4 linked regions of the Lepisosteus oculatus genome follow. The protein of the gene in region 3 purifies or fractionates together with the protein of the main gene of each other region. This does not show direct contact. Links are inferred from orthologs where the notes say so. Each region holds a gene or a part of one and is shown on either strand. Other genes may lie near its edges.

Region 1 (7,411 bases), on a different chromosome or scaffold from region 3:
GCTGAGCTGCGATCTCAGTGGTGCTGCTGTGACCGAGGCCCCGCCCCCCCTGCGCTGAGCTGCGATCTCAGTGAAGGCTCCATGCCTGAGGCCCCGCCCCCCTGCACCGAGCTGCGATCTCAGTGGTGCTGCTGTGACCGAGGCCCCGCCCCCCCTGCACCAAGCTGCGATCTCAGTGGTGCTGCTGTGACCGAGGCCCCGCCCCCCCTGCGCTGAGCTGCGATCTCAGTGGTGCTGCTGTGACCGAGGCCCCGCCCCCCACGAGGAGGGGAGGGCCCAGAGAGGATACAGTCCCTGATGGAGGCCTGCTCGATCTGCTGCAGCTCCGCCTCCACCTGCTTGGAGTACTGCCTCAGGTCCACACCCTGGGAGAGAGGGTCAGTCTGGGGTCAGTGTGTGTGTGAGTACCGCCTCAGGTCCACACCCTGGGAGAGAGGGTCAGTCTGGGTCAGTGTGTGTGTGAGTACCGCCTCAGGTCCACACCCTGGGAGAGAGGGTCAGTCTGGGGTCAGTGTGTGTGTGAGTACCGCCTCAGGTCCACACCCTGGGAGAGAGGGTCAGTCTGGGGTCAGTGTGTGTGTGAGTACTGCCTCAGGTCCACACCCTGGGAGAGAGGGTCAGTCTGGGGTCAGTGTGTGTGTGAGTACCGCCTCAGGTTCACACCCTGGGAGAGAGGGTCAGTCTGGGGTCAGTGTGTCTGTGAATACTGCCTCAGGTCCACACCCTGGGAGAGAGGGTCAGTCTGGGGTCAGTGAGTCTGGGGTCAGTGAGTCTGGGGTTTGGGGTCAGTCTGTTGGTCAGTGAGTCTGGGGTCAGTCAGGGTCAGGGGGTCAGTGAGTCTTGGATCAGTGAGTCTCGGGTTTGGGGTCAGTCTGTTGGTCAGTGAGTCTGGGGTCAGTGAGTCTGTTGGTCAGTCTGTTGGTCAGTCTGTTGGTCAGTCTGTTGGTCAGTCTGTTGGTCAGTGAGTCTGGGGTCAGTCGGGGTCAGGGGATCAGTGAGTCTGGGGTCAGTCAGGGTCAGTCTGTCAGTCAGTGAGTCTGCGGTCAGTCAGGGTCAGGGGTCAGTCTTACCGTTTTCAGAGCCTCCTTCACCAGATCATCCTCCAGATTAGCCTGGATGTGGACTGTGAGCACAGAAACTGTTAGAGACACACACACACACTACAAACCCACACTCTCACACAACTCTACACTCGCTGTGTTAAAGTGTACACCACACACACACACTACAAACCCACACTCTCACACAACTCTACACTCGCTGTGTTAAAGTGTACACCACACACACACTACAAACCCACTCGCACAACTCTACACTCGCTGTGTTAAAGTGTACACCACACACACACTACAAACCCACTCACACAACTCTACACTCGCTGTGTTAAAGTGTACACCACACACACTACAAACCCACACTCTCACACAACTCTACACTCGCTGTGTTAAAGTGTACACCACACACACACTACAAACCCACTCACACAACTCTACACTCGCTGTGTTAAAGTGTACACCACACACACACTACAAACCCACTCACACAACTCTACACTCGCTGTGTTAAAGTGTACACCACACACACACTACAAACCCACTCACACAACTCTACACTCACTGTGTTAAAGTGTACACCCCACACACACTACAAGCCCACACTCTCACACAACTCTACACTCACTGTGTTAAAGTGTACACCACACACACTACAAGCCCACTCTCACACAACTCTACACTCGCTGTGTTACAGTGTACACCACACACACACTACAAACCCACACTCTCACACAACTCTACACTCGCTGTGTTACAGTGTACACCCCACACACACTACAAACCCACACTCTCACACAACTCTACACTCACTGTGTTAAAGTGTACACCACACACACTACAAGCCCACACTCTCACACAACTCTACACTCGCTGTGTTAAAGTGTACACCACACACACACACTACAAACCCACACTCTCACACAACTCTACACTCGCTGTGTTAAAGTGTACACCACACACACACACTACAAACCCACACAACTCTACACTCGCTGTGTTAAAGTGTACACCACACACACTACAAGCCCACACTCTCACACAACTCTACACTCGCTGTGTTAAAGTGTACACCACACACACTACAAGCCCACACTCTCACACAACTCTACACTCGCTGTGTTAAAGTGTACACCACACACACACTACAAGCCCACACTCTCACACAACTCTACACTCACTGTCCACTTCATCGAGGATGAACTCGTCAGAGGTCAGGTCCAGGTCACCCAGATTGAGAGCAGGAATGTCATCTGGGTCAGACTTCATCTGTGGAGAGAGACCGAGGGACAGCCGTAACATGGGGGAGAGGAGACACAGACCAGGGGGAGAGGAGACACAGACCAGGGGGAGAGCCGTAACACAGGGGAGAGGAGACACAGACCGGGGGGAGAGGAGAGCCAGACCGGGGGGAGAGCCAAAACACAGGGAAGAGGAGACACAGACCAGGGGGAGAGCCATAACACAGGGAAGAGGAGACACAGACCGGGGGGAGAGCCATAACACAGGGAAGAGGAGACACAGACCGGGGGGAGAGGAGAGCCAGACCGGGGGGAGAGCCTTAACACAGGGGAGAGGAGACACAGACAGAGGGAGAGGAGAGCCAGACCGGGGGAGAGCCTTAACACAGGGGAGAGGAGACACAGACAGAGGGAGAGCCGTAACACGGGGAACACACACCTGTCTCCCTGAGAGACCCCTGTGTGAGCAGTAAGAGGCTGGGAGCTGGCTATGGGGGAGAGGGACGTGTATACAAACACACACACGTACGAGTGAGCAAGGAGCCGCCCGCCGGCGCTCCCCGTGTCTCTCCCGGGGCGGAGGCGCTGCACGTACCTCGTCCTGCAGGTACGCCATGGCGCTGACAGCCGGGCCGGCGTCCGCAGTCTGGAGCACCGCCGCCATCACTGCCCGCATCCGGGTCCTCCGCCTCCCAGCAGCCCCCGCGCCCGCCTCCCGGCGTGCTCTGCGCTGAGGGTTTTTTTTAATGGGTTTTATTATTGAATTATTATTGAATTATTATTTTTTTGCCGTAAAGATCGTAGCTGATGTGAAGAACATGTCGCATGGACGGGATGGACCATTTCATCATACGACAATGTTCAGATTTATAAACTCTATATGTAGTTTTAGCTGTGTGCATATGCGGCGAACTCGAATATAAAATAAATTGGAATATATTCCAATAAAATGTATATTTAAATATAAAATAAATGATACTGATCGATACTGTCTTTCAGATGAAGTTAAAGAAATAACATTTAAGATTGTTCATAGATTTTTATCCGGTTAAATTGACACTTTCTGGATTCAAACACGATCGAGATGACTGATGTGTATTTTGTAATAATGAGAATGAGGAATCTGTGTTACGTGTGTTTGTTAATTGTTAATAAATATATACATAATTGTTTTGGATAGATTTTCAAAATGTTGTTGTTAAATATTTAAAGTTAAATGTTAAATTGTGAGATTTTTATATTATTTTATATTTTATTAGACCTGATTTGGATAAACGATACGTCTTCGTAATTAATCTGTTAATTATTTTGGCGAATCCTCCCTCTATTAATGCTTTTAAGGTAGAATTCTTTTTTTATTTAAACTCGATTAGACATTTAAAGAATCAAAAGGCAAAATCTCCGTCGGAACACGTGGAATTATGTAAAAAGTTTAATTTTTAGCTGTTATAATTGTGAATTCCTCCGGCTGTCAAGTGTCTATTTTTGTATCTGTTTTAATATTTTGTCTCCCCCCTTGTATTTCTGCTGTTTAAATAAAAACTTAATCTAAAAAAAGAGTTCAGCTCCCCTGTACGGTGGGCATTTGTACTACCCGCTGTCTCAGGAAGGCTGGGAGTATCGTTCAGGACACCAGCCATCCCGGTTCCTCACTTTATCTCCCTCCTTCCCTCCGGTCAGCGTTATAGGAGCTATTTTTGGGGGGGATTTATTGTTGCTGTCATTCTGTAAAGCGCTTTGAGAAGCCACCTTTAAATAATAATAATTAATAATTGCTTTTACTTATATAGCGCTTTTTCTGGACACTCCACTCAAAGCGCTTTACAGGTAATGGGGACTCCCCTCCACCACCACCAATGTGCAGCATCCACCTTAAAGGCGCTATATAAAATAAAGTTCATTATTATTATTATGATTATTATTATTATTAAAGGCGCAGACTTCCAGCTTCAGAGACGGCTTCTTCCCCTCCAGCTGTCAGATTACTGAACTCTGCCCCTCCCGCTGGCTCACACGGATGTGTTATCCAAGTCGTGTGTTATTAAACTTCTCGTTGTCGCTGCGGCTGTTCCGTGTTGATGTTTGTGGCGATTTATTTCATGTCTTTGGACTGGAGCGGACGGGCGCGGAAGCGTTTCCTCGCACTCGTGCAGAGGACAAACACACGGGGCGGGATCGTGTGAACACACTGGGACGGACCCAACACTACCGGCTGTGTCCGGTCCCGGTCCCGGTCCCGGTCCCGGACGGGCTGGCCGGGCTGGCGGAGGGGTTTCCAGCTCCCTGTCAGTGGGGTATAACTGTGGCTCTCCGCACACGAAGGTACCCCGCAGTCCAAACGCCTCTCTCGGTGAGGAAACTGTCCCCAACACCAGGCAGAACGGACCCCTCTGTGCCCATCAGGGGGGAAACTGCTTTTAACGCCACAGTGAAACACGCAGCCTTCGAAAGCCATGTCAGTCCCCAGTGCACCGCGCAACAGTACAGCCAATGGCGTCGTAAACCCAGCGCCCGCTGGCCCGGAGGGCACCAAAATATTAAATAATAAAGTCAGTCCGGCGAAGGTGCCGACGAGCTGATCCGAGTTTCAGAGTCGAGGGGGAAGGAAAACCTGGGGACACACCGGCCGCACAGGGGCCGGGCCGGCGGCTCTCTTCCGCACCGAAGGAAGACCTTTTCTTTTCTTTTTTTAAAGAATCACGGGGAGTCGTTTAAAACCGTTTCTTTTTTCTCCCCACCACCACCACCACTTAGAGCGCCGTCCTCTTAAAAAGGCAGCGACAGCGGCCCACAAGAAGAACTCGGTCCGTGTTTCCCCACCGGACGGCATTCGGGAGGGGGCGGCGGCGGTCGGGCGCCGGAACCGGAAGCCCCTCCCCGGAGATCCCGCGATATAGTCTCGCGAGAGCGCGGCCTCTGCCTCTTTGCGACGGGACCCGCGGACAAGATGGTGAGAGGAGACGGGCTGCCGGGGAGCCGGCAAGGCATCCGCCGCCATCGCTTGCACACGGGGGCGCCGGCGCCCCGGCCGCCGCGGGGCAGCCTCTGCCGGACCCCTGCCCGGCCCTGCGGCTCGGTTTGGGTCGGAACCGGGTGCGGGTCTGTTTTAAAACTGGCGCTCGCTGCTGTGCTGTGTGATCCGGCCATATTCCCTCCGAGCCGAGCCCGCTAACCCCCCTGTCTCTCTGTGTCTCTCTCTGACCCGCAGTCACTCGTTATCCCCGAGAAGTTCCAGCACATCCTGCGTGTTCTCAACACCAACATCGATGGGCGCAGGAAGATCGCCTTCGCCATCACCGCCATCAAGGTGAGACACGGGGCTGTGAGTGGACCGGACTGGACCGGGCTCTGGGCTGACCCGCTGTGTGTTCAGGGGCAGGGCTGGGCTGTGGACTGAGCTGCTGTGTGTTCAGGGTCAGGACTGAACTCTGGGCTGACCTGCTGTGTCTCTGGGTGTTGAGGGTGTGTGTTCAGGGTCAGGGCTGACTTGCTGGGTCTCTGTGTAGACTGTGTGCTCAGGGTCAGGACTGGGCTCTGGACTGAGCTGCTGTGTGCTCAGGGTCAGGACTGGGCTCAGGGCTCTGGACTGACCCTGTTGGTGTGGTGTGTTCAGGGGGTGGGCGCTGGACTGACCCTGCTGGTGTGGTGTGTTCAGGGGGTGGGCGCTGAACTGACCCTGTTGGTGTGGTGTGTTCAGGGGGTGGGCGCTGGACTGACCCTGTGGTTGGTGTTATTTGTATTCAGGGGGTGGGCGCTGGACTGACCCTGCTGGTGTTATTTGTATTCAGGGGGTGGGCGCTGGACTGACCCTGCTGGTGTTATTTGTATTCAGGGGGTGGGCGCTGGACTGACCCTGCTGGTGTAGTGTGTTCAGGGGGTGGGCGCTGGACTGACCCTGCTGGTGTAGTGTGTTCAGGGGGTGGGCGCTGGACTGACCCTGCTGGTGTAGTGTGTTCAGGGGGTGGGCGCTGGACTGACCCTGTGGTTGGTGTTATTTGTGTTCAGGGGGTGGGCGCTGGACTGACCCTGTGGTTGGTGTTGTTGTGTGTTCAGGGGGTTTGCGCTGGACTGACCCTGTTGGTGTGGTGTGTTCAGGGGGTGGGTGCTGGACTGACCCTGTGGTTGGTGTTATTTGTGTTCAGGGGGTGGGCTCTGGACTGACCCTGCTAGTGTGGTGTGTTCAGGGGGTGGGCGCTGGACTGAGCCTGTTGGTGTTGTTGTGTGTTCAGGGGGTGGGCGCTGGACTGACCCTGTTGTTGTTGTGTGTTCAGGGGGTGGGCCGGCGATATGCCCATGTTGTTCTGAGGAAGGCTGATATCGACCTCAACAAGAGAGCTGGAGAGCTGACCGAAGACGAGGTGAGTCTGGGGGGAGAGGGGGCTGTGTGTGTGTGTTGGGGTGTAGTTGGGGATGTCTTGGTGGGCAGGTGGAGATGTGTTGGGGTCTAGATGGACGTGTGGGGGCTCACTGCTGTGTGTGTTGGGGTGTCTGGGGCGGGGGCAGGTGGAGAGAGTCATCACCATCATGCAGAACCCCAGGCAGTACAAGATCCCAGACTGGTTCCTCAACAGGCAGAAGGACATCAAGGATGGAAAATACAGCCAGGTAAGACTGCAGTGTCCTGAGGGGGGCGCAGCACCCTGCGGCCTGTGGTCAGTTACTGCTCCCTCCTCACTGGGGTACGGGTCTCTACAGTGCCCCCTTGTGGGGCTGCAGGCTATACAGACCACTGGGGTATGGGTCTCTACAGTGCCCCCTTGTGGGGCTGCAGGCTATACAGACCACTGGGGTATGGGTCTCTACAGTGCCCCCTTGTGGGGCTGCAGGCTATACAGACCACCGGGGTACAGGTATCTACGGTGCCCCCTTGTGGGGCTGCAGGCTATACAGACCACTGGGGTATCTACGGTGCCCCCTTGTGGGGCTGCAGGCTATACAGACCACTGGGGTATCTACAGTGCCCCCTTGTGGGGCTGCAGGCTATACAGACCACTGGGGTACGGATCTCTCCAGTGCCCCCTTGTGGGGCTGCAGGCTATACAGACCACTGGGGTACGGATCTCTCCAGTGCCCCCTTGTGGGGCTGCAGGCTATACAGACCACTGGGGTACGGGTATC
Region 2 (6,873 bases), on a different chromosome or scaffold from region 3:
AGGTCACCGGGGAGACAGCGAGGCTGTGTGACCGGACTGCAGCAGGGTGTGGACCCCTGGGGGAGAGAGACAGGTCACCGGGGAGACAGCGAGGCTGTGTGACCGGACTGCAGCAGGGTGTGGACCCCTGGGGGAGAGAGACAGGTCACCGGGGAGACAGCGAGGCTGTGTGACCGGACTGCAGCAGGGTGTGGACCCCTGGGGGAGAGAGACAGGTCACCGGGGAGACAGCGAGGCTGTGTGACCGGACTGCAGCAGGGTGTGGACCCCTGGGGGAGAGAGACAGGTCACCGGGGAGACAGCGAGGCTGTGTGACCGGACTGCAGCAGGGTGTGGACCCCTGGGGGAGAGAGACAGGTCACCGGGGAGACAGCGAGGCTGTGTGACCGGACTGCAGCAGGGTGTGGACCCCTGGGGGAGAGAGACAGGTCACCGGGGAGACAGCGAGGCTGTGTGACCGGACTGCAGCAGGGTGTGGACCCCTGGGGGAGAGAGACAGGTCACCGGGGAGACAGCGAGGCTGTGTGACCGGACTGCAGCAGGGTGTGGACCCCTGGGGGAGAGAGACAGGTCACCGGGGAGACAGCGAGGCTGTGTGACCGGACTGCAGCAGGGTGTGGACCCCTGGGGGAGAGAGACAGGTCACCGGGGAGACAGCGAGGCTGTGTGACCGGACTGCAGCAGGGTGTGGACCCCTGGGGGAGAGAGACAGGTCACCGGGGAGACAGCGAGGCTGTGTGACCGGACTGCAGCAGGGTGTGGACCCCTGGGGGAGAGAGACAGCTCACCGGGGAGACAGCGAGGCTGTGTGACCGGACTGCAGCAGGGTGTGGACCCCTGGGGGAGAGAGACAGGTCACCGGGGAGACAGCGAGGCTGTGTGACCGGACTGCAGCAGGGTGTGGACCCCTGGGGGAGAGAGACAGGTCACCGGGGAGACAGCGAGGCTGTGTGACCGGACTGCAGCAGGGTGTGGACCCCTGGGGGAGAGAGACAGGTCACCGGGGAGACAGTGAGGCTGTGTGACCGGACTGCAGCAGGGTGTGGACCCCTGGGGGAGAGAGACAGGTCACCGGGGAGACAGGGAGGCTGTGTGACCGGACTGCAGCAGGGTGTGGACCCCTGGGGGAGAGAGACAGGTCACCGGGGAGACAGCGAGGCTGTGTGACCGGACTGCAGCAGGGTGTGGACCCCTGGGGGAGAGAGACAGGTCACCGGGGAGACAGTGAGGCTGTGTGACCGGACTGCAGCAGGGTGTGGACCCCTGGGGGAGAGAGACAGGTCACCGGGGAGACAGTGAGGCTGTGTGACCGGACTGCAGCAGGAGTGACCTTACTGCAGCAGGAGTGAGACAGCGTACTGTGTACTGCGCAGTGCAGCAGGAGTGAGACGGCCGGGGAGAGTGAGACGGTACCGGACAGCTTGGTGATCTGCACGTGCTGGTCCTGCAGGGTGCCGCTGATGCGGGCGCTGAACTCCGTGATGGCGGCCATGTTGGCGGCCAGGCAGTCCATCTCGTCCTCCATCTTCTTAAAGTCGTTCTTCATCTTCCGGATGGTGTCTGGGGCAGAGGACGAAGGAAAATGCTGATCATACCCCCAAAACACCCCCCCCCCGGTTCTCAATTCAGATCCCCCCCTCCCCTCCTCTGCCCCCGCTGACCTGTAGCAGAGATGAACTTGTTGTAGTTCTCGTAGACCAGGGTCTGCATGTCGCTGTCCAGGGCTCGGATCTGCTTCACCATGCAGGCCTCCTGGTCCATCAGCTCGGACAGGGAGCACTCCTTCCTCAGCTGAAACACACATAGGGGGTAACTAGGCTGGGCTGGCAGTTCAGGTCCAGTCCTGTCACAAGAGCAGGACAGCTGGTCCAGTGGTTCAGGTCCAGTCCTGTCAGACCAGGAGGACAGCTGGTCCAGTGGTTCAGGTCCAGTCAGTTAGACCAGGAGAACAGCTGATCCAGTGATTCAGGTCCAGTCCCGTCACACCAGGAGGACAGCTGGTCCGGTGGTTCAGGTCCAGTCCTGTCAGACCAGGAGGACAGCTGGTCCAGTGGTTCAGGTCCAGTCCTGTCAGACCAGGAGGACAGCTGGTCCAGTGGTTCAGGTCCAGTCCCATCACACCAGGAGGACAGCTGGTCCAGTGGTTCAGGTCCAGTCCTGTCAGACCAGGAGGACAGCTGATCCGGTGGTTCAGGTCCAGTCCTGTTAGACCAGGAGGACAGCTGGTCCGGTGGGTCAGATCCAGTCCCATCAGTCCAGGAGGACAGCTGGTCCAGTGGTTCAGGTCCGGTCCTGTCAGTCCAGGAGGACAGCTGGTCCAGTGGTTCAGGTCCGGTCCTGTCAGACCAGGAGGACAGCTGGTCCAGTGGTTCAGGTCCAGTCCTGTCACACCAGGAGGACAGCTGGTCCGGTGGTTCAGGTCCAGTCCTGTTAGACCAGGAGGACAGCTGGTCCAGTGGTTCAGGTCCAGTCCTGTCACACCAGGAGGACAGCTGGTGCATTCTAATACACTAGTTAATGTAATATTATTGATCCCTGATCATCGCCATCCTAATACACCGCGAATTCCAGTTCCTCCCCCGCCTGCTGCTGCAAAACAAGGCCGCCTTTGGGGATAGAATAAAGACAATCTCTACTCTCCGACAGTCACGGTGTGAACACTACCAGCTCCATTATTAATTATTATTATTATTATTATTATTATTACCTTGTTGAGATAGACCTCCGGGTCGAAGTGCGGCCCGTTGATGTCGCAGGGATCCAGCGACTCGCACCTCTCCCCGGGTTTGCCTTCCTCGTTCAGCCCGTAGTACAGCTTCAGCATCCCGTGAACCCGGCGCTGGCGGCCCGCTGCGGCCTCGGCGGCGGGGTCCGAGTCCATCTCGGCCGGCGGTGGCGGTACCGAGCCAGAAACTCGCGCGAGCAACCGTCAGGGACCCGGAAAAAAGGGACCGGACCGGGAGAGATTCCGGGAGGAGGGTGACGCGTCAGAACCTGCGTACTACGCACCGAAGGGAGGGGGCACAGCCATTGGTGACGTCATCCGGAGGCGCCCCGTCTCCGTCTCCCACCTTATTGGCCGGTTATGTAAAAAGCGTCATTTTCAGCTTCTATAATTATTGGTAATAATGCGCTTTATTCCATATAGCGATTTTAAAAGTGGCTTCCCAGAGCGCTTTACAGGGGGGAAAAAAGATTTTTGCAATTGATGTCTTTTCAAATACATCCTTTTTTTTTTTTACATAAGTGATTTGGCTTAACATCGACGACTAACGGACTCCACACGTAATTTAAATAATGTCAAAACTTTCTAAAACTATTAGAATGCCTTCTTATCCCAGCGGTGATGTACAAATGTGATACAGACCATTGCAGTTTCCTGTTCTCGATAATCCTGATCCCATTCGTGCAAAACATTTATGACATTACTAGACATTATGCCATATGTGCTGAAAACAATGCCCTATCTTTATACCGTTAAACTTACCACCCTTCTGTATCTCTGAAGTCCCTTTGGAAAAACCTAACGCTCAGGTCCACAGGAGGGTTGTCCCTTGAGGAAAATGAGTCTTTACATCAACTGTCTCCCTGAGTGTTCCCGGGCCCATTCCTGGAGATTCCAGGCTTCATTTCCGGGGAAACTCCAAGCCGATCCCGGTGGGATGGGATCTTGTTGCCCCTGGGGAACAAGCGCTCGGCTGCCAGCAGCTGATCCCCAAAGGCCTACAGACATGGTCGATCGGACCTCTCACCCAGACACTCGGGCCAATTAACCAATTAAGATCAGAAGAGCAACACACAGCAGAATAACCCTGTGCCCGGACCTGCTCGTGCCCGGGTCTGCGGAGCGGTGGCTGAGGATCTGTGCCTCTGGCTGGGAGGTTGACGGTTCAAATCCCGCGGCCGGCAGAGGAATCCCACTCCGCTGGGCCCCTGAGCAAGGCCTTTCACCCCAACTACTCAAGGGGTGCTGTATAAATGGCTGACCCTGCGCTCTGACCCCCAGCTTCTCTCCCTGTCTGTGTGTCTCATGGAGAGCAAGCTGGGGTCTGCAAAGAGACAAATTCCTAATGCAAGAAACTATTCATGGCCAATGAAGTGATCTTTTCTCTTATCTAAGAGCAGGGGTTCCCCGTCCCGTGCCTGGTGACCCCCCCTACACCTGCAGGCTTGCGTTCCAGCCCAGCCCTCGGGGACACAACCAAACCCTTCGTCAGTTCAAGCAGGGGGCTGCGCCAATAGGCGTGGGCTGCAAAGGAACAAGTACAGGTTTATTCCCTGCTGGGGAGAGAAGAAAGGAAGCGCAACGTTTCACACCCAAAGAAGGCTCCACAGCCGAAACGTTGTTTCCTTACTTCTCTTTTCAGCCTGGAATAAACTTTTTACTTCTTCCTTTGCAAACCCTTCATTTACTTCACAGTAACAAGATTCCTTTTTTTTTCTCTCCTTAGCGCGTTGCACAGCGCCCTGGGGTTTGGAAAGGAGCTTTATAAAAACAGACTATCCATAAATAATTACAATTAATAGCGTGATAGTCGGATGAATGCGAAGGGGTTTTGTGAGTTTAATAAAATGCAGGTATCTAATGAAGACCAGCAGGTGCGTCAGCGCAAACACAAGGACGACAGGCTGAGAACAAACGGCACACAGGGAAAAGAACGTTTTAGTGGAAAAAGAAAATCTCTTTTTATTAGAACAGAACTCGGTTAGATCTCTGGGCTTAACTCTAGACGAGACGACGCCTTCCGGACCCCCTTTTCCCGACATCATCTCCCACCTGGCCAGCATCCTGGAGCTGGGGATCACAGGCCCCACAGCTCCTCCGCGAGGGCAGGGCGGGTCCTGACAGCAAGGTGGCGCGGCTCCCGTCCTGCAGGGGGCGCCGCACCTGCGGGGGTGTCCCAGCTCCTGCAGAACTGGGAGGATCTGGTCAAGCAGATCAAGCCCCTGATTGGTTTAAGTGGTTAAGAGCTGAGCTGGAACGAAAACCTGGTGGCGTCTCGGGCCCTTCAGGACCGGATTGTGATTAGAAGAAGATTAGAGAAGCAGAGGCAGGGATACAGACAGATCCCATCACTCAGGCAGACCACAGGCGGGGACAGACAGGAGGACAGGTGTCGTGGCAAAGACAGAAACAGCCGATAGAGAAAAAGAGAGCTGGAGATCAGACACATAAACAGATCGGGGAAACAGAAGTGACCGTCATAAAAGACACGCAACATCGACAGAAACGGACAGCACGAGCCGCGATCTCTGCAGAGACGCAGTCAGAAGTTCTGTGCGGTCCGAGTAAGGCATATTTAAGGCATCAATATATAATCTCACCATCCGCCATTTTAAATAATCGCATTAAAAAAAACAATCTGTTAAAACTCGTTAATAAGATTTTCCACTTTTAGAGTTCACCAGGAAAAAAAAAAAATATATATAAAGCAGTGTGTAAATTCTAGTAACCCTACAGTGAGGAAGTGGGATAGAGTTTTGGTTTAGTAACGTAGTGAAACAACGGAAGGATTAGTGACAGGAAGGAGGGGAGTGCTTGTCCCGTACGGTATTAATCCGGCTTATTGGGTATTTGGGAATGTTGGGGGATAAGGAGGCCAGACTGCGTGACCGAACGACTGCAGGGATGGGGGAGGGGGGCGTGTGGCCTGCAGGGGGGGGCAGCTGGTGGAGCATCCGGGTACGGATCAGCCAGGGCCACCGCCTACTCCCCCAGGGCCAAGCTAAGAGCTCTGGCCTCCAGGAGACCCCCACCGCCATCTCCTCTCTTCCCTTGGAATAACAGCGATCCGCGCGACTCAACAGCTGGGCTTCAGCGCGCCCCAAGGCACTTACTGTATGTACGCGATCTGATTGTCTCTTGGATAATAAAGACACATCTTCCCCCTCCTCCCCTTCCAGGAAGAGCTACGATTCAGCATAAAACAGGGGTAAAAACAAACAAAAAAAAATTGCCTGTAAATATATTTTTTAAGGACGCACGTAGGACGATGAGCAGCTGGGTCATAACTACAGCACAGGGCACCTGTGGGCGTAGGCGTGATCAGGCTTGCTCGTTCGATAGTGGTGATGGAGACTCATATTTAATAGAGGAAGGGCTTGCGTCTCACAGTGGATGCAGACATGTGGGGGGCAAGACGTGTCACTCGAGTGGTGAGGAAATCCCACCTCTCAGGCATTCTACCCATCAGGGATACTGGAGAATGGAAATATTTCACTGCAGACTGATCCACTCCAGGTGTGACAGTGCTGTCAGTCAGACTCCCAGTGCGCAGCAGACTGATCTGCTCCAGGTGTGACTGTGCTGTCAGACTCCCAGTGCGCAGCAGACTGATCCGCTCCAGGTGTGACAGTGCTGTCAGTCAGACTCCCACTGCACAGCAGACTGATCCGCTCCAGGTGTGACAGTGTTGTCAGTCAGACTCCCAGTGCGCAGCAGACTGATCCGCTCCAGGTGTGACAGTGCTGTCAGACTCCCAGTGCACAGCAGACTGATCCGCTCCAGGTGTGACAGTGCTGTCAGTCAGACTCCCAGTGCGCAGCAGACTGATCCGCTCCAGGTGTGACAGTGCTGTCAGACTCCCAGTGTGCAGCAGTCTGATCCACTCCAGGTGTGACAGTGCTGTCAGTCAGACTCCCAGTGCGCAGCAGTCTGATCCGCTCCAGGTGTGACAGTGCTGTCAGTCAGACTCCCAGTGCGCAGCAGTCTGATCCGCTCCAGGTGTGACAGTGCTGTCAGTCAGACTCCCAGTGCACAGCAGACTGATCCACTCCAGGTGTGACAGTGCTGTCAGTCAGACTCCCACTGCACAGCAGACTGATCCGCTCCAGGTGTGACAGTGCTGCCAATCAGACTCCCAGTGCACCACA
Region 3 (7,960 bases):
TGTTCTGTCACAAAACTTCAGACGTCGATCACTGTAGTGACCATTTAATAACCCCCATGAGCACATATACTGTATGATGATAGCCTATTTAAGATTTAGATTTTTACATTTTAAGTTCAATTTAGCCCATTTGTACAGCGCTTTCCACACGAAGTGCTTTACAAATAAGAAAGGGCCCACTTCACCCACCAGGAAGAGCAACTCCTTAGTAATCATTCTATACCACCAGCCCAAGTAGGAAATGGCTTTTCCAGTTGAACTAAAGGGGACATTTAGGTTTGCGAAATTGTGCAAACCCATAGTGGAACTCAGGACAGGGCACCAGGATTAACATGCCTACTCAAACAAACACAGAGAGGAGTTTAACTGACCAGTATCCCTGTTTAGCATCAGAAGGATAGCACCCATTACAGCACAATGTGACCCGCAACCATAATGGGAAGCTGCTTTGGAAATTCTGGTCCGTAAAAATTACCCATTGGTCACCGGCACCACTTAGAACAGCAAATCCCGTTTTCCCTACAGGCCTCCCATCCAAGCACAGACCAGGCCCAGCCTTGGTTAAGTATCAGTATATGACATGTCTGTGTAAGACACTTCCACGCAAGAGGACATTTATGTCTATTCCTGTACTCCCTTTGCCCTTAGAATTTCAATTTGGCCTTCATTATCAGTCTATGGTATAAAAAAAGGAAAAAAAGGAAAATGAATAATACATTTAAAAATAAAACTTTGAAGGATGGCACCTCCTACAGTTGAACGTTGCCATAGTGCGATGCTGGTTTGGACATTCAAATCTAGAGGTAACAGCACCTCCTCCTGGTGAACCAGCGCCACTTTCACTGCCACACCTGTTAGTGAACTCTCATCCCAGGTCTGACCCAGCCTAGCCCCTGTTAAGCTTGAGCTACAAGTGGTAACAGGCTACAAGGTGGTAACGCTGTTTCTAAAAAAAGAAAAGACACTAGAAAAAAAGCAAGCATGGCATTCGCATAAGTCCACCCTTATCACTCAGAATAACACAGAACCTCTGAAAAATGAACAACCAGCAGGTACCCTCACTGTAAGTTGTTTGTACTGGCAAGCACAGCTGGTAATGACCCCTTTTAAAAACGACCTGAAGGCTGGTGATTAATGCAGGTTGAATGTTTTGGAAATAGCTTTTGTACTCTTATTAATAATAATAATTGCTTATACTTATATAGCACTTTTCTGGACACTCCACTTAAAGCGCTTTACAGGTAATGGGGACTCCCCTCCACCACCACCAGTGTGCAGCCCCACCTGGATGATGCGACGGCAGCCATAGTGCACCAGAACGCTCACCACACATCAGCTCTCAGTGGGGAGGAGAGCAGAGTAATGAAGCCAATTCATAGAGGGGGATTATTAGGCTATGATTGGTAAGGGCCAATGGGAAATTTGGCCAGGACACCGGGTAAGGTGTCCTGATAGGTACCACATACATACCAACATAAGAGCTACATATCCATACCTTGCTAGGAATCCTGAAGTTCTCCACAGGGCTGAGGTCACCTGCATTCTCCTGGGGACTTCTGGGACCCTACAAAACATACAACAACCATAATCACCATTTGCTGGCTGGGCTGTTTACTTCAACTCACCTTTCAGTACAGAACAGCCATGCTTTTGTCTCGTACCTTTTTATATTTAACTATTTAACAGCCTCTAAAATCACAGGGCAGGCAGCCCTGGGATATACACCAAGGGACACAGACGGAAACTACAGGGAAGTGTTCTTAAAACTGGGAACAGGAGGCAGTTCTTGGGCACAAAGTGAAGTGAAAGTCTGGAACGAGCTACCCAACCACATCAAACCTGAGTGCCACTCAATCACAAAACAGCTGAATGGGTTCCTCTGATCACTCAGCGACTAAAAACCATAACTACAACTGCCCCTACTCATATGTAAATATTTTAATGCTCTAAAGAACACCACATTTGACCAAGAAATGCAGTGTCACTTCCATAATTGTGCCTACCATTCAAACTCTAAAGCTTTACTGGGTCAATTTGTAATCGTCATTGATGCCCATGAGTGCCCCTATTAGTGCCTATTCTAGAATAATGTCCACTGGCTCTTTGGAATGCAAAGCTAGCTTGGAAAGCCTGATCTTTTCTGATCGGATTTTTTTCTCACAACGTGTTATGGTAATTACAGTTTTAGTAACTAATGACACATACCGCACAGCACAAGAGTATAGAGAGGTTTCTAATGTAGTTTTGCAACAATCTCGATATATTGTGCTACTAAATGTTCAAAACTTAAAACAGTACAACACTCTCTTGGCTACTATTTCATGATAAATATATATGTATGTAATCATGATATCCGAAAGCGTGCGCAGTCATACATGTAGTACATTCCGAGATAAAAAGTACTTCCCTGTACGCCCACTTTCTGCACTCCATTACGGAATGTGCTCCACGTAGATCATCAACATAAAAGAGATGAGGAAGACTTGTTGTACGACATGGGGTAGATTTCAGTCAGTTCTGCGCTACTGAACTATACAAAACAGGACAGCGCTATCACTATTACACCAGTCCTATTGCCTGATCTCAAGTATGTTACGTTTAGCAAGTCTGTTCTATATCCCTCAAAGGTGATGATGACCTATAAAACCGACTAATTTTCAAACAAGATGGTGCATTCAGGATAAATGTTAAGCGTATCGCTTTCGACCGCTTCCCATACCACGCACAGTGCCGTTTCTCTTTTATCGTGAATCGCATCTCATTTAACATTTACAGTACAAACCCAGCTTTACCCACACCTGTGCACAGCCTCCTCAGCCAGGAGCACCGCTCCTTTTCAAACTGATTGTCGTTATATCTCACCTGCCGGGTCATTAGCGATTTTATCTTTTGCATTTTGGTGTACAGTTTATACGTCGTTCCTCAGAGTCGGTAACAAATTGATATCATTCCCGTGTAACTCCAGTTTCAGGTCCTACAATTCATGAACTGATACAGAACAGCCATGTTTGATAGATCCAATCACATGAATAATTCAGTCCGGGTGGTATTCTGGGAGATGTAGTTCTGCGGAATACCTACGCGTAGTTTCCGACATAGCACGATTAAATTGAGAGACTACATTGCCCACTTTCCTTTGGTTGCCGTCAAAGTCTGTAAAATTGCAGGCGAGTTGGAATCTGCTACATCCGTTTTTCTTTGCCTTCGCTACGTTTAAACGTTTCACAAGGCAAATTTGTTTGAATACAGCTTTTCTGTTTTGATAAAGACTGATATCTAGCCACACAGACACGTGTGCGATTTTTAAACGCTTTGTTGTATTTTTTTAACCAAGTCACTCATGTACTATGTCTAGGAAGTTATTGTTTTATTTATTTTGGAAACAAAACCTAGGGTGTTTATATATGTTGGCGAACTGGGCTTTAAGGAGCACAAAAAAACGAATCAATATGCATCTCCATGCGTCTGAGTTAAATAGGCCTAATCAACTGCTTGTTTGGAAAAAGTCCATTAGCGACAACATTTCCGACCAGTGTCGTAAACGCCTTCGCCAATATTCAAAGACTGTAATTTTCTTTAAAATGTTCATCTTTTATCAAAGGATGAGGTGAACACTAGATGGCGCTGTTAGCGGCTGTTTACTCAGGTAGCTCCCTTGTTCAGTGACAAGTGATGGATTTTACAACTAGCGCAGCTCTTCCGTCTTGCAACTGTTTAATAAAAGTGACTTTAAGTAAAAGTTTTTCTTAAAATCTCATTTATTATTTTTAATATTATTTATATTTTGTATTTTTTATTTTACAGCATTCATCTTTTTTACATGTTGTAATTTGACAGATTATTCTTGGTTATCTTTACTTTTTGTTAACTTATTTTTTTACAGGTGGGTAGCTGCGTCAGCATGCGTAGGCTGCAAAGGAACAAGTAATAGGTTTATTCCATGCTGAAAAAAAGAAGAAAGAGAACACAACGTTTCGGCCGTGGAGCCTTCCACCTTGATACCTGAAGAAGGCTCCACGGCCGAAACGTTGTGTTCTCTTTCTTCTTTTTTTCAGCATGGAATAAACCTATTACTTGTTCCTTATTTTTTTACAGCCTATACACCTTTTGCATGCTGTACCGTACCCTGCCGTGAATTTAGGTTTCTTTTAAAATTTTGTAATAAATAAGATGATAAAAAAGCCATCAGTTAACAGATTGGACTTTCCCAGTGAAGTCATTTTTCAAAAAGGCCATTTGTTTGAAAATTTAAATATCACCTAGCAACAGAGAGAGAGCTACCTTATCCCAGTGTGATGACAGGGTAGATGATTTACTAGTCAAATCTAGGCTTATTTTGGCTGCCAGACATTTGAGGTGTTTACCGAGCTGAAGCAATCCTCTGCAACCACCCGTAAAACACGATGCAGGATGAACAGATGGCATTCCACGAAACAATTCATGAAATATGTTCGGGTGTGAGTGGGGTGTATTTATATGTATCACTTGTAGTGTGTACAGTGCCTGAAAGAATAGCTGTTTTCACTTGAGCCAAATAAAATCTATAAAAATATCAATATAAAAAGAATAACTATTTTCATACATTTTTACCTTGCACTTTCTGCTTGTCTAACCCTTTGTCCTTCACCAAGTTCTAATTACAAAATATTTCATTTGAAAGGCTTTTCAGCAGTAATATCCAGTAGTAATTCCCTGTATCTAAACAAAGTGTAATGTACATGATCTGCCTTCATAGTTTCAGTTGATATTATGTTCAGTGCACTTAGGCAGGTGGTCAGAATTATAGGATTAGCGACGTATTTTCTGTAAACGATGTAAGTGAGTTCAGGTCATCTTATTGGCGTCTGTGTGGACCTTGAAGTTGAAGTCATAGCAGTGCCTCGCCATCGGTTTCTGGCTGCAGAATAAGACTTCTGCAGTCATCTGCAGGAATGGCAGCTGATGACGAGTCCCTCTTCCAGGCAGTCTGCACATCTCTGGGGAGACCGTTGTAAAAATCTGGGTACGTGCACACAAGGTTAAAGAGCGCATATTATAGTGGTAATATGAGAACATAAGAAATATTTTAAAAAGTAGGGAAACCTTTCAGCCCATAGAGCGTGAATTCATTTGGTACTGCTAGTTTAGTAATTAGTAGATGATTGATCCAAGGATTTCATCCAGCCATTTCTTGAAAGAAGCCAAACTATCAGCTTCAACACCATGGCTGGGTAACTTGTTCCACACTCCCACAACCGTTTGGGTGAGGTAGCGTCTTCATTCCCGTGTCTAAATGCGATTTCTTGAAGTTTCCACTTGTTTCAACACTGGTTTGTGTCTCACTGTTTATTTTTAAGCAGTCCGCCAGGTTAACCTTGTCAGTGCCTTTGATAATTTTGGATATTGTATTCCTTCATAGTCTTCTTTGTTCAAAGGTTCAGTCCTTTGAGTCTATCTGGTTTCTTGTCTCTGACTTCAAAGCAGCAATATCTTTTTTGTAAAGTGGTGAGAAAAACTGTTCACAATGTTGTAAATAAGGCCTGACTAATGTACTGTACAATTTGAACATAACATCACTTTTGATTGTACAGCCTAACATTTTGTTTGAATTATTTTTTTTTTTGCTTTCCCACATTGACTGGAAAATGTCAGAGATGTGTCCAAATAAACACCCTTTTGCTTTTTCCATAAGAAACTGTACTAGCTCAGTGCTTCTTATTTTGTATATACTTCCCATTTTGTATGTACTGTATAGTGTAATGCTCATCACTGCTGTGTGAATATTAGCTCAACCCAAGCTAGTATTCATACAGCAGCTGGCCACACTTCCACTTATTTGCCATTTAAAATCGGTTGTCATGGAGTTTGACTAGTTTTACAGGAAACCTGTACCACCTCTAATCAGTTTACTATCACGCCTGCCTCAGGTGGTTCAGGCTACCTATCTCATGAAAACAGACTGCTGCTCATACTGCCTCAAGCAGCGAACACATTACATATGGTTTTTATTACCTGCGTGCAAAACACTGCACTTGTCTACATTAAATGCTGCTGTATCTGCCATTAATAATTAATAATTAATAACACTGATGCAGTGCAGTGTATCTAATTCTATGGTCAGAAGTGTGAACTTGATGCACATTATAAGACAAATCAAGGAAAAATGACGGAGTTTTATCTGCAAAAATATCAATAGAAAGAGTAATGATGCAATAGAATAAAAATCATTGAAAAATTTTATTTCTCTACAGGGCAAAATATTTAATCTTATTAAAGTGCACTTAGTGTACTTTATGAATGTCCATGGAAAAACTGTCTATCATAGAAAATATTTTTGCAAAACCACATCCTGAGGGGTGTGATGCTCTTGAGTCTCTGAGCCTTGGCTCCAACAGGACAGTGACACATGTACACCTGCTATCCCACTGTGTATCAGCATGCCCTGGGCAGAACTGGAAGGAACAAAACCACAGCATGCAGACAAGCCTTCTGTCCCTGAGGACACTGAAATAGAAACAAGAACCTCGGACACAACCAACTCACAGTAAAAAAATACTTTTAAAATTATCTGTTATAACAGTCTATTAGTTAATATTTGCCTTACACTGTTAGTATAGCACTAGAAGGATTTAACAACATTTTGAAGTAGGTTTGCAAATGGCAGTGTTGGTCCATAGAAAAATGTGATAAAGTTAGAACAGAGAAGAGGGAAACAGCCAAAACAAGAGGAATTAAGAGGAAACTCATGTTTGTGTCACATCTCTACAGCTTTCTGCAATGCCTTACTCTACATACGCCATGTGGCAAGGGTGTTTTTAAAAATGGTTCTTAAATTATAAAAATGAATACATAGATTTGCCTTTGATCTTATTGTTGCATAGACAAAGGTATTTAAGACTATCAAGAAAGGCAGCGCAATGCTAAAAACCTTCACACAAAAACATAAAATAGCATGGTACTTAAACCAAAGACGTTAAAATGAGGACCTTTTCTTCCTTGCAGTAATTGCTAGTGAACATATCATATTTATGTGTTTAGTTATATTTATGGTGGTCCATTCAATGCATACTGGTGAGGTTATCAACTGCCATTAAGTTCCCAACTATAGACTACATCACTTTCTGATGTCTTCACCAAGACATGATAGTTAAAACTAAAGTGTTTTCATAAGTAAACTGGGACATGAAAGCTTTGTTTATCAAACTTTAAATCGGAATTTAAATAACAGGTTTGTTTTTCCCTGCTGATGCTGTGCTGTCACAATTGTTAATCCTGTTCAGTATGAGAGGAGCCGCAGGTTCAGACATTTGGAGTCTGTGCTTGGCTGAGGACACGATGGTGAGAAGCTGCCATCTGTGGGATTATGACTGAATGACTCAAAGTCAGAATCCCCCCGTAAGGTTTCAGACAGAACCAAATAAAGTATCTTTTAACCATTCATTTCCCAGAATGGTAAAATCTTAAAATTAAATTGTCATTCTTAACAACAGCAAATTATTCCAGCTTTTTAAATAGAAGAAATGTGGTCACACACTACACTTGAATCTACTGTCACACCATTGAGCAGCTGATCTGCAAAACCTGAGCAAGAACGACCATCCAGCAGATCCAAACAGCTGGTCGTGTGGTGCCAGAGCCCTTCAGCACCCCCGAGAGAGCCAGGAGCATGACATCATCAAAACAGTTCCGCCTTCAACATTTCAGCAAGCTGCTTTCCTTGTTCTATCTTTTGCTATCCAAGCACTCACAAATTTGGAACCAAATGGTATTTAATAGTGGGTTTTGGGATATCCAGATAAGTGAAAACAAGCAGAGCAGGTGAGTTGCATTATTGTAAATTGCTCTATTTTTTTCTGAAAATACATCAATGTCAGTCTTCAGTTTGCCCTGTGGTAAAATAATACTGTAGTTGTTTCACTGAAGTGTCCATCCTTTGACAAACACTGAGTGTATCTTCCTGCAGGCAGAATTACAAATAATG
Region 4 (6,918 bases), on a different chromosome or scaffold from region 3:
AACATTCTTATGCCAGAATTTCATATATTTTATATATCCCTGACATGCACCAACAATTGCTAGTGTTCTAATGTTTCAGCAAACACTCACAATTAATTGCTTCAGGCCCTCAAAGGATTGATGCACGGAGTTTGCCGTTAAAGCCTCTCTCTTCGCAGCTGCTTGTTCCCCCAGGAACCTCAGCATGAGATCCTTGACAGCATCTCCCTGAAACACAAAGTCCAAAGTACAAAATACAGAACTTCCACACTGAACTGACTAATGCTTAAAATTCACCTAGTGTCACAGTTTACTGATGACCATTAAATATAATTTAATCCTTTGCTACAGAAGGTGTATTTTATGTTTCTAGTTTGTTTCTAATACCTCATATATACACATGGTAATGCCACTGGGGGCAGGGTCCTCAAGGGGTGGTATTTTGTCCAGAGAGTACTGACTGCTTTGCCCTTACCATGATGGCCAACAGGAGCTGTCAAACATATAATAGAGGCTGCTGGCAATCGGTAAGAGTGAGAAGCAGCTAGATGCCCTCACACAGCCCATATAAGCTACTGTAACTACCAAACTGGCAGCACAAAGAGAGAGTGGTGAGAGACAGAAAAGGGATGGCAAGAGAGCAAAGAGAGGCGAGTGGTGGACAGTGGTATGAACCAGTACTCTGTGTGACATTACTACCACTGACATTTGAAAATGTGAAGAATGGGTTTGTTTGGCGGTGTCCCAATATGTACACTTGCCATCTTGTGTACTTCATATGCATGCTCCTGCTAAAGTCTGCAAGAGCTTAGGATTTCACATTTCTAAATCTGTGTTGCAATTTGTGTTCTCTGAAGTCCGCAGACTTCACTTAGGAATTACCCCCAATTTCTTATGGAATGGTGACGTTTCATGTTCTAACCTATCAAAACCATGTTGCCATGGAGAATAAAATATTCATGTGCTAGTAAATATACACTTTTTACAGTTTTAAAATTCTTAATATTTTATGTAAAAAAAATAATTAGGCTACTTTAGATTCATACTTTATGTTTTCTGGGTATGAAGTTTTGACATAAAGCTTTTATTTTGTCACCTAATTTTGACGGATGAATATTCTTTTACCTGTGGCGTATTTTGTACACAGAATATATAATAGTACACATAGTTATTAATACAAAGCTTTGAGGTATTGCCAAGTCAACCTTGTAAAACTGCAAACGGCGAATGAGAAATTCTTTAAACAAAATCTGCCGACATGCACTTGGAATAAAAGCATCAACAACAGAAAGCTTTTTGACCTTGACCAGTGTAACTAGTGAGTGCCATTACCCTTTTTATAACGATGCACCCTCGACTACTCTCGCACTTGAAGTCCACACTTGCTCTATGTCACAGAAGTGTGGACTTTGAATATGGGCTTACGGAGACTATTGGGACATGTCCTTTTTTGTGCGAGAGCCAGTAAGCAGCTTCTCTGCTGGGCTTAGTAGTTAGGGACAGAGAATAAGTAGTAGCCAGGAGCCCAACGAAGGGATAGGTTTTCTTTGTTGTTTTCTTTAATGGTGGTTGATGTACTTCTCGCACACTTTGAATTGCACAGTCAAACCCTATGGCTTGGGTTGGGTGTGTCTGTTGCATGCCCAATGATGACACTGCCCCTTGCAGCATCACAATATATATATAAAATGATCAATATTGTTGGATTATCTATTTTTTATATATTTTCATATACATTCAATTCAATTTATTTTTATATAGCACCTTTCACAACAAGGTTGCCCGAAGGCACTTAACAAAGCTGTGTGAAAATACATGACATTACAATACAATGTCATGTACAAATATATATATATATTTAATATTTATATGTAATACTCCCTTTCCCTTTAACAATACTCACCTGAAGATTGTCAAACTTCAGCCCAGGCATGGAGAGCTTCTCTTTTCCCAGGGACACAGGGCTGTATTGCTGGGTTGCAACAGAAATCAAGACCTTCCTTGTTTCATCTGAGGGAAGCCATGCGTCATACCTCCTGTCAATTTCACTCATGTTCAGGGCAGTTGCAAAAGGGTCATCCCTGCCTGGGAAGGTGGCCTGCATCTTGGAGAAAGGATGTGCCACTTGAGCAGCACCTTGTGGAGCAGGTGATTCCAGGGGTGCAGCAGCAAAGAAAAATGTAGGGGTACTAGACTCCTGTTCCACAGGTCCAGGTGGAGAGGAAGGCTGTAGTTCAGGAGCTGGAAGGCGCGAGTTGGCATTTGGATTGCTGACAGATATGAAAGAAGATGAGGTTGTAAAAGAATCAAAGAAGTCAGTTGCAGGGTTGGAGCTCCCATTGTCAGCAAAAAACTTGCTTAAACTGGGGCTGGGCTGGCAGACCAGAGGGGCAAGTTTAGTTGGGGTTTCAATAGCGCTGCCAAAACTAGGAGACTTAACCAGCGCAGGCTCAAAGCCATCTGGCATTAAGGACTGTGTTTTAGGTAGATTACCTTGACTGAAAATAGTGCAAACTGGGATTGGCTCATTCTTTGACTCCTTGTTTGTGCAAACATCTGTATGTTGGACCTTGGCGTTTCCGATATCAGATTCTTCCTGCATGGGCTGGCTAGGGATTATTTCCCTTTCACTTCCTTTGGTTTCTTCTTCGAGGTCCCACTGCTTCTCATCTTGAACCGCAGGGGTCACAGTCATCTCTTCAGGGTCACCTTGGTTTTCGATTATAGGTGTCTCAACATTTTGCATGGTTTTCTCATCACTGCATTCGGTCTCTTTTGATTCAAAGTCTCCTCCTTCTTCAAACTGCTCCAGCAGAGATTCCATCTGGCCAGCATCATCTTCACTATTATTCGGAGAGTCTGATATCATGACACTCTCCATCATCTGATCGTTAAGTTTATCTATGAAATTTTCTGAATGGCTCTCTTCTTGTGGTGTGACAAATGACTCCAAATCCAAGTCAATATTTTCCTCTTGGAAGAAAATTTCTGGAGGTTGGCTTTCAGTTTCCTGGGCAGATGAATCTTCATTTCGTTCACTGCCCATTTCCCCAGCAATATCCAGTGTTAGAGATGCCCGATTTTGAGCTTTTGAACTATTGCCTTCCATTGCTTTTTATCCCTTTAAAAGAAACAGTGAATTAATAGTATAACAAAAATCATTTACAATATATCTAATGGGAAACAAGGGCTAAACAATGAGTAAATAGTAAAACTAAAAAGAAGAAAAAAGATAAACACAAAGAAAGAGCATCATTATCCATTTAACAAAGTACATTAACGCCAGTACAATTCAGAGAAAAATGATCTGACTTTTAAGGTACCTTTAGTTTTCTTTAAAAAAGTGCAATATTTATCATGCAAGTGTCATCGACCACTCCAAAATAACAGAAATAAAGCGCTAAAACATCTAATTTATTTTAGAATTTGTGAAATAAACCATGCAAAAACAAATACAAGTAAAACTTATTCGTTGATTATATTAAACCTCTCATTAAAATTCTAACTACTGTAATTCATAATCCAATCATCAAATGCATGATATATTTTGATCTTGTTTCATATTGTTTCAAATATCTTCTAAGATCAAACGCACCGAAGAGTTACATGGGTTTGAAAAAATAAATTCTCTAGCTATATAAAACCAAATAGTGTAAAGTAACGTTAAAATCAACACCTCCTACCTATATTGCACATTGTAAATCAAATATAAGTTACAGTTGCACAAAACTGTCGTTTAAACAACACAAAAAATAAATACAGCAAGTTTATAATATCCAGAACTTAAAATATTAAAAGCTAAATACTGTACGTCTGGTTTACCTTTTCCTAGATGACAGAAGAAGAAAACAGGCACATGCGCACAACAAATAGGAAGAGAAACCAACGGAAGCCGAGGTATACCAAATGCCCTCGAAAAGTGTCGTTTTGTATTCCTGAAAAACTTTACGATCATTTGCCGGGGAAACCTGTGCATTTGTTTTGTGTTATGGTAAAATAGCGTAACAAAATTAGACGGAACATTCACAATATTTTTGTGGTTCGCGGAAATGTTAGCTTAAAGTGATCGATACCTTATATTGCGTGAGGACAGAATCAATGAAACTGACGAATTAAACGTTAGCGTGAAGTGTTAAAACGTTTAAATATGGAGGACGACGCACCTGTTATTTATGGCCTTGAATTTCAGGTACGTACAGATAAAACGTTTCCTGAAATGTGTATAACTAATAAATAGTCCTTGCACATAATAATGTATTTAAAAGTGATGAGATACATTTTACTCAGAATGCAAAACATATTTTATATGTAGAATGCAGAACGTTTTTTGTTCTATAGTCACTAGAATTCCAATGAAGGGATGCAGTTGCTGTACATTTCTTGCTTTCCTAGATTCATTTTTACGTATCGAATTAGAGTCCATTACGATAAGGGGGGTATTTTTCACAGGCATTATACCGCATATGACAATATACTGTAACAAATGATCTTCGTATTACTTTGCACGTGATAATTTTTCAAGGCAAGACTTAGTCTTAGTTAATTTATTACTGTAGGTTACATAAAAGCAACCAATGTGTTACCTAGTCAAATCGTAAAATCCATTAAGATAAGCTGTTAGAAAGCTTCACATTTCTTGCAACCAAAGAACCAAATATTTCTATATTCATTCGAAGGTGTGTGCTGTTTTGAATGGCATTCCATTATAGTGCCTATCAGTGCCTATCTTCCTTGCAAGATCTCTCTCCATTTAATGGGCAGGAGAGCTTCTGTATGCTGTTGAATTTTTAGTTAATGATGTCCTGTGGAACACTCGCTTCTCGATTGGAGATGTTATACATGTGTTTATTTCTTTGATATTAAGCTCTTCAGTATGCAAAGTCATACCATATGATATGTCGTTACTTTCTTAATAATTAAATACTGATTGTAGCATTATGTAAACGGATGCTAAAAACAGTAGTTAAGTTTACTGGACTTAAGTATTTAGAACTTTTTAGAATTATTTAGAATTTTAGATTTAGATTTAAAATCAATTAAGCGACGTAGTGGAATGCCTGATGTGAGATTTGTGAGTGTTGTTAATGAATCTTTATTCTAGTTAATGATAATAAAGATTCCATTTAAAAGGAAGCCGTGTGTGTGTGAATAGGTAAAATCTTGGTTGTGGTACAGCAATTACAGTACATCACTGATAACTGGGATTGAAAAGGAATAGTGAAGAATCTTGCATGTTCCTGCATCAGATCGACTCTTTCAAGATATTCTTTGATATCCGTCCATCCATCCACTGCCAATGGCTCAGCCTCATAAGTGTCATGGCAAGCAGGAGTACATGATTGCTCTGTCTTTGGATAGGATCCTAGTCCTCCACGAAGAGCCCTGGAGAAAAGGGACAATTTAGCCAGCACTGGATGTCCATGACATCAGCATGACAATTTTGAACTGAACAAGTTAGCATGTCTCCGTGATGCAGATGTAAGCCTTCCTGGGTGAACAAAGCTGCTGTCAAGTGTGTCGAAATTCTGATGTGCTGTCGTCTTGCAGTGGGTATGAAATTAGTCAAAATGTTGAGGGCTTTTTATCGAGATTGGGTTAGGTGCAGTCCTTAGTGTGATTAGTTACTTGATGCTTGATCTTCTGTGTGACTTACATGGCCATAGCCGTACAGGAAGAACAAGGTGAGGCATTATTGATATTTGTAAGCTGTTGGGCATATCTGTGCATTCCGAATGTACTGTAGCACTACAAGTGGGACACCTAAAAATGTTTATGTAAGTGCTCTATTTGAGGAGGCAGAAAAATCTTAAAGGTTGTGTTCAGGTCTTGTGAAGATTCAGTTTAATAGTTCCTTCTTCAGACACCCATTACAAGACATTAATCCTTATTAGCGTAAATTTATTTGTTAATGAATACAGCTAAGTACGCCAGCAGAATAGTTAATGTGCCACTGTCATATAAATCATTTGCTCAAACTTTATGTGTTGAGCAACCCACTCTTTGCTTGTTTTAAAAGCTGCTTTGGTCCAGTTCTGTCCTCAGCACCTGACAGATTTAAACTCCAATTACTGTATGTGTGAAATACCCTTAACATTAAAGTCCCAGTTATTTAAATTATTTTACATTGTGTAAAATACACAAGTGCAACACCTTTGGTAGCAAATATTTTGGCAGCCTTGAAGGCCAAATAAGGATAAAACGTTTTGTATTGTCCAAATCTTTTCAGTTTTTTTCCATCTTTATCTTAAACAAAATTCTTAACGTTTCTTTGTAGTTTTCTAGCATTTACCTGTAGTTACAGATTTTCTGTCCGTCATTCTCAGTTACAGTATCTGCAACATTAACTAAGAACCTTTGTTTTAGGATGACACGCTGAAATATTGAGCATTAAACCTGTTGTTGGGAATTCGTTTTTTTCAGGCTCGTGCTTTAACAGCCCAGACAGCAGAAACAGATGCAATTCGCTTTCTAGTTGGTACTCAGTCTCTTAAATTTGACAATCAGGTGAGTATGTACTTATGGAATGAGGAATGAATAAAGGATGGGGGGGTTAATACGAATACAGTAAGAGTGACATTTCCTCTTGGATGACTCATGACTGCAGCAGACCTCCCTAGTAAGTTTCAACCACTTTTTTATTTTTAGAATATTTTGGTAGTCTATGGCACCAATCCCTCTCTGCAGTCTTAGTAATAACTTTTATATAATCCACTGCATACTTTACAACTTTGAGTCTTTTGGTGATTTGTAAAAGTATTATACATACATTATACGTAAAGGTTTAGCTGAAATTTTAAATATTGTAGTATTTCAAAATGTTACTTGTAGATTTTATTCAGTATGAGGTTGACTCTTTGTGTTAATAAGAATATTGATGTTTTTCTAAGATGAAATTTTATGTACATAGTAATATTATAAGTGTGATTGAATTTTCGAACA

The links.
Region 1: the proteins of vps50 (region 3) and vps52 purify together in Homo sapiens (affinity purification with mass spectrometry; 4 studies listed by BioGRID and IntAct, counting the BioPlex papers as one, with this or other methods). This does not show direct contact. The link is inferred for Lepisosteus oculatus from reciprocal best matches to the Homo sapiens genes VPS50 and VPS52.
Region 2: the proteins of vps50 (region 3) and vps51 purify together in Homo sapiens (affinity purification with mass spectrometry; 7 studies listed by BioGRID and IntAct, counting the BioPlex papers as one, with this or other methods). This does not show direct contact. The link is inferred for Lepisosteus oculatus from reciprocal best matches to the Homo sapiens genes VPS50 and VPS51.
Region 4: the proteins of vps50 (region 3) and eipr1 purify together in Homo sapiens (affinity purification with mass spectrometry; 4 studies listed by BioGRID and IntAct, counting the BioPlex papers as one, with this or other methods). This does not show direct contact. The link is inferred for Lepisosteus oculatus from reciprocal best matches to the Homo sapiens genes VPS50 and EIPR1.

What each region holds. Positions count from the first base shown.
Region 1 is NC_090709.1:39,252,591-39,260,001, reverse strand, and holds the start of vps52 (vacuolar protein sorting-associated protein 52 homolog), read right to left. Parts: upstream 3,001-7,411; 5' UTR 2,970-3,000; coding exon 2,889-2,969; intron 2,322-2,888; coding exon 2,234-2,321; intron 1,124-2,233; coding exon 1,071-1,123; intron 366-1,070; coding exon 290-365; intron 1-289. Other genes in the region: rps18 (small ribosomal subunit protein uS13), read left to right, coding at 5,241-5,243, 5,502-5,600, 6,565-6,651, 6,797-6,898. UniProt on the Homo sapiens protein: Acts as a component of the GARP complex that is involved in retrograde transport from early and late endosomes to the trans-Golgi network (TGN).
Region 2 is NC_090713.1:21,231,086-21,237,958, reverse strand, and holds the start of vps51 (vacuolar protein sorting-associated protein 51 homolog), read right to left. Parts: upstream 3,014-6,873; 5' UTR 2,882-3,013; coding exon 2,708-2,881; intron 1,792-2,707; coding exon 1,662-1,791; intron 1,561-1,661; coding exon 1,414-1,560; intron 1-1,413. UniProt on the Homo sapiens protein: Acts as a component of the GARP complex that is involved in retrograde transport from early and late endosomes to the trans-Golgi network (TGN).
Region 3 is NC_090705.1:4,851,600-4,859,559, forward strand, and holds the start of vps50 (syndetin), read right to left. Parts: upstream 3,014-7,960; 5' UTR 2,896-3,013; coding exon 2,863-2,895; intron 1,565-2,862; coding exon 1,496-1,564; intron 1-1,495.
Region 4 is NC_090697.1:14,813,034-14,819,951, forward strand, and holds the start of eipr1 (EARP-interacting protein homolog), read left to right. Parts: upstream 1-3,916; 5' UTR 3,917-4,126; coding exon 4,127-4,168; intron 4,169-6,399; coding exon 6,400-6,483; intron 6,484-6,918. Other genes in the region: trappc12 (trafficking protein particle complex subunit 12), read right to left, coding at 91-207, 1,883-3,088. UniProt on the Homo sapiens protein: Acts as a component of endosomal retrieval machinery that is involved in protein transport from early endosomes to either recycling endosomes or the trans-Golgi network.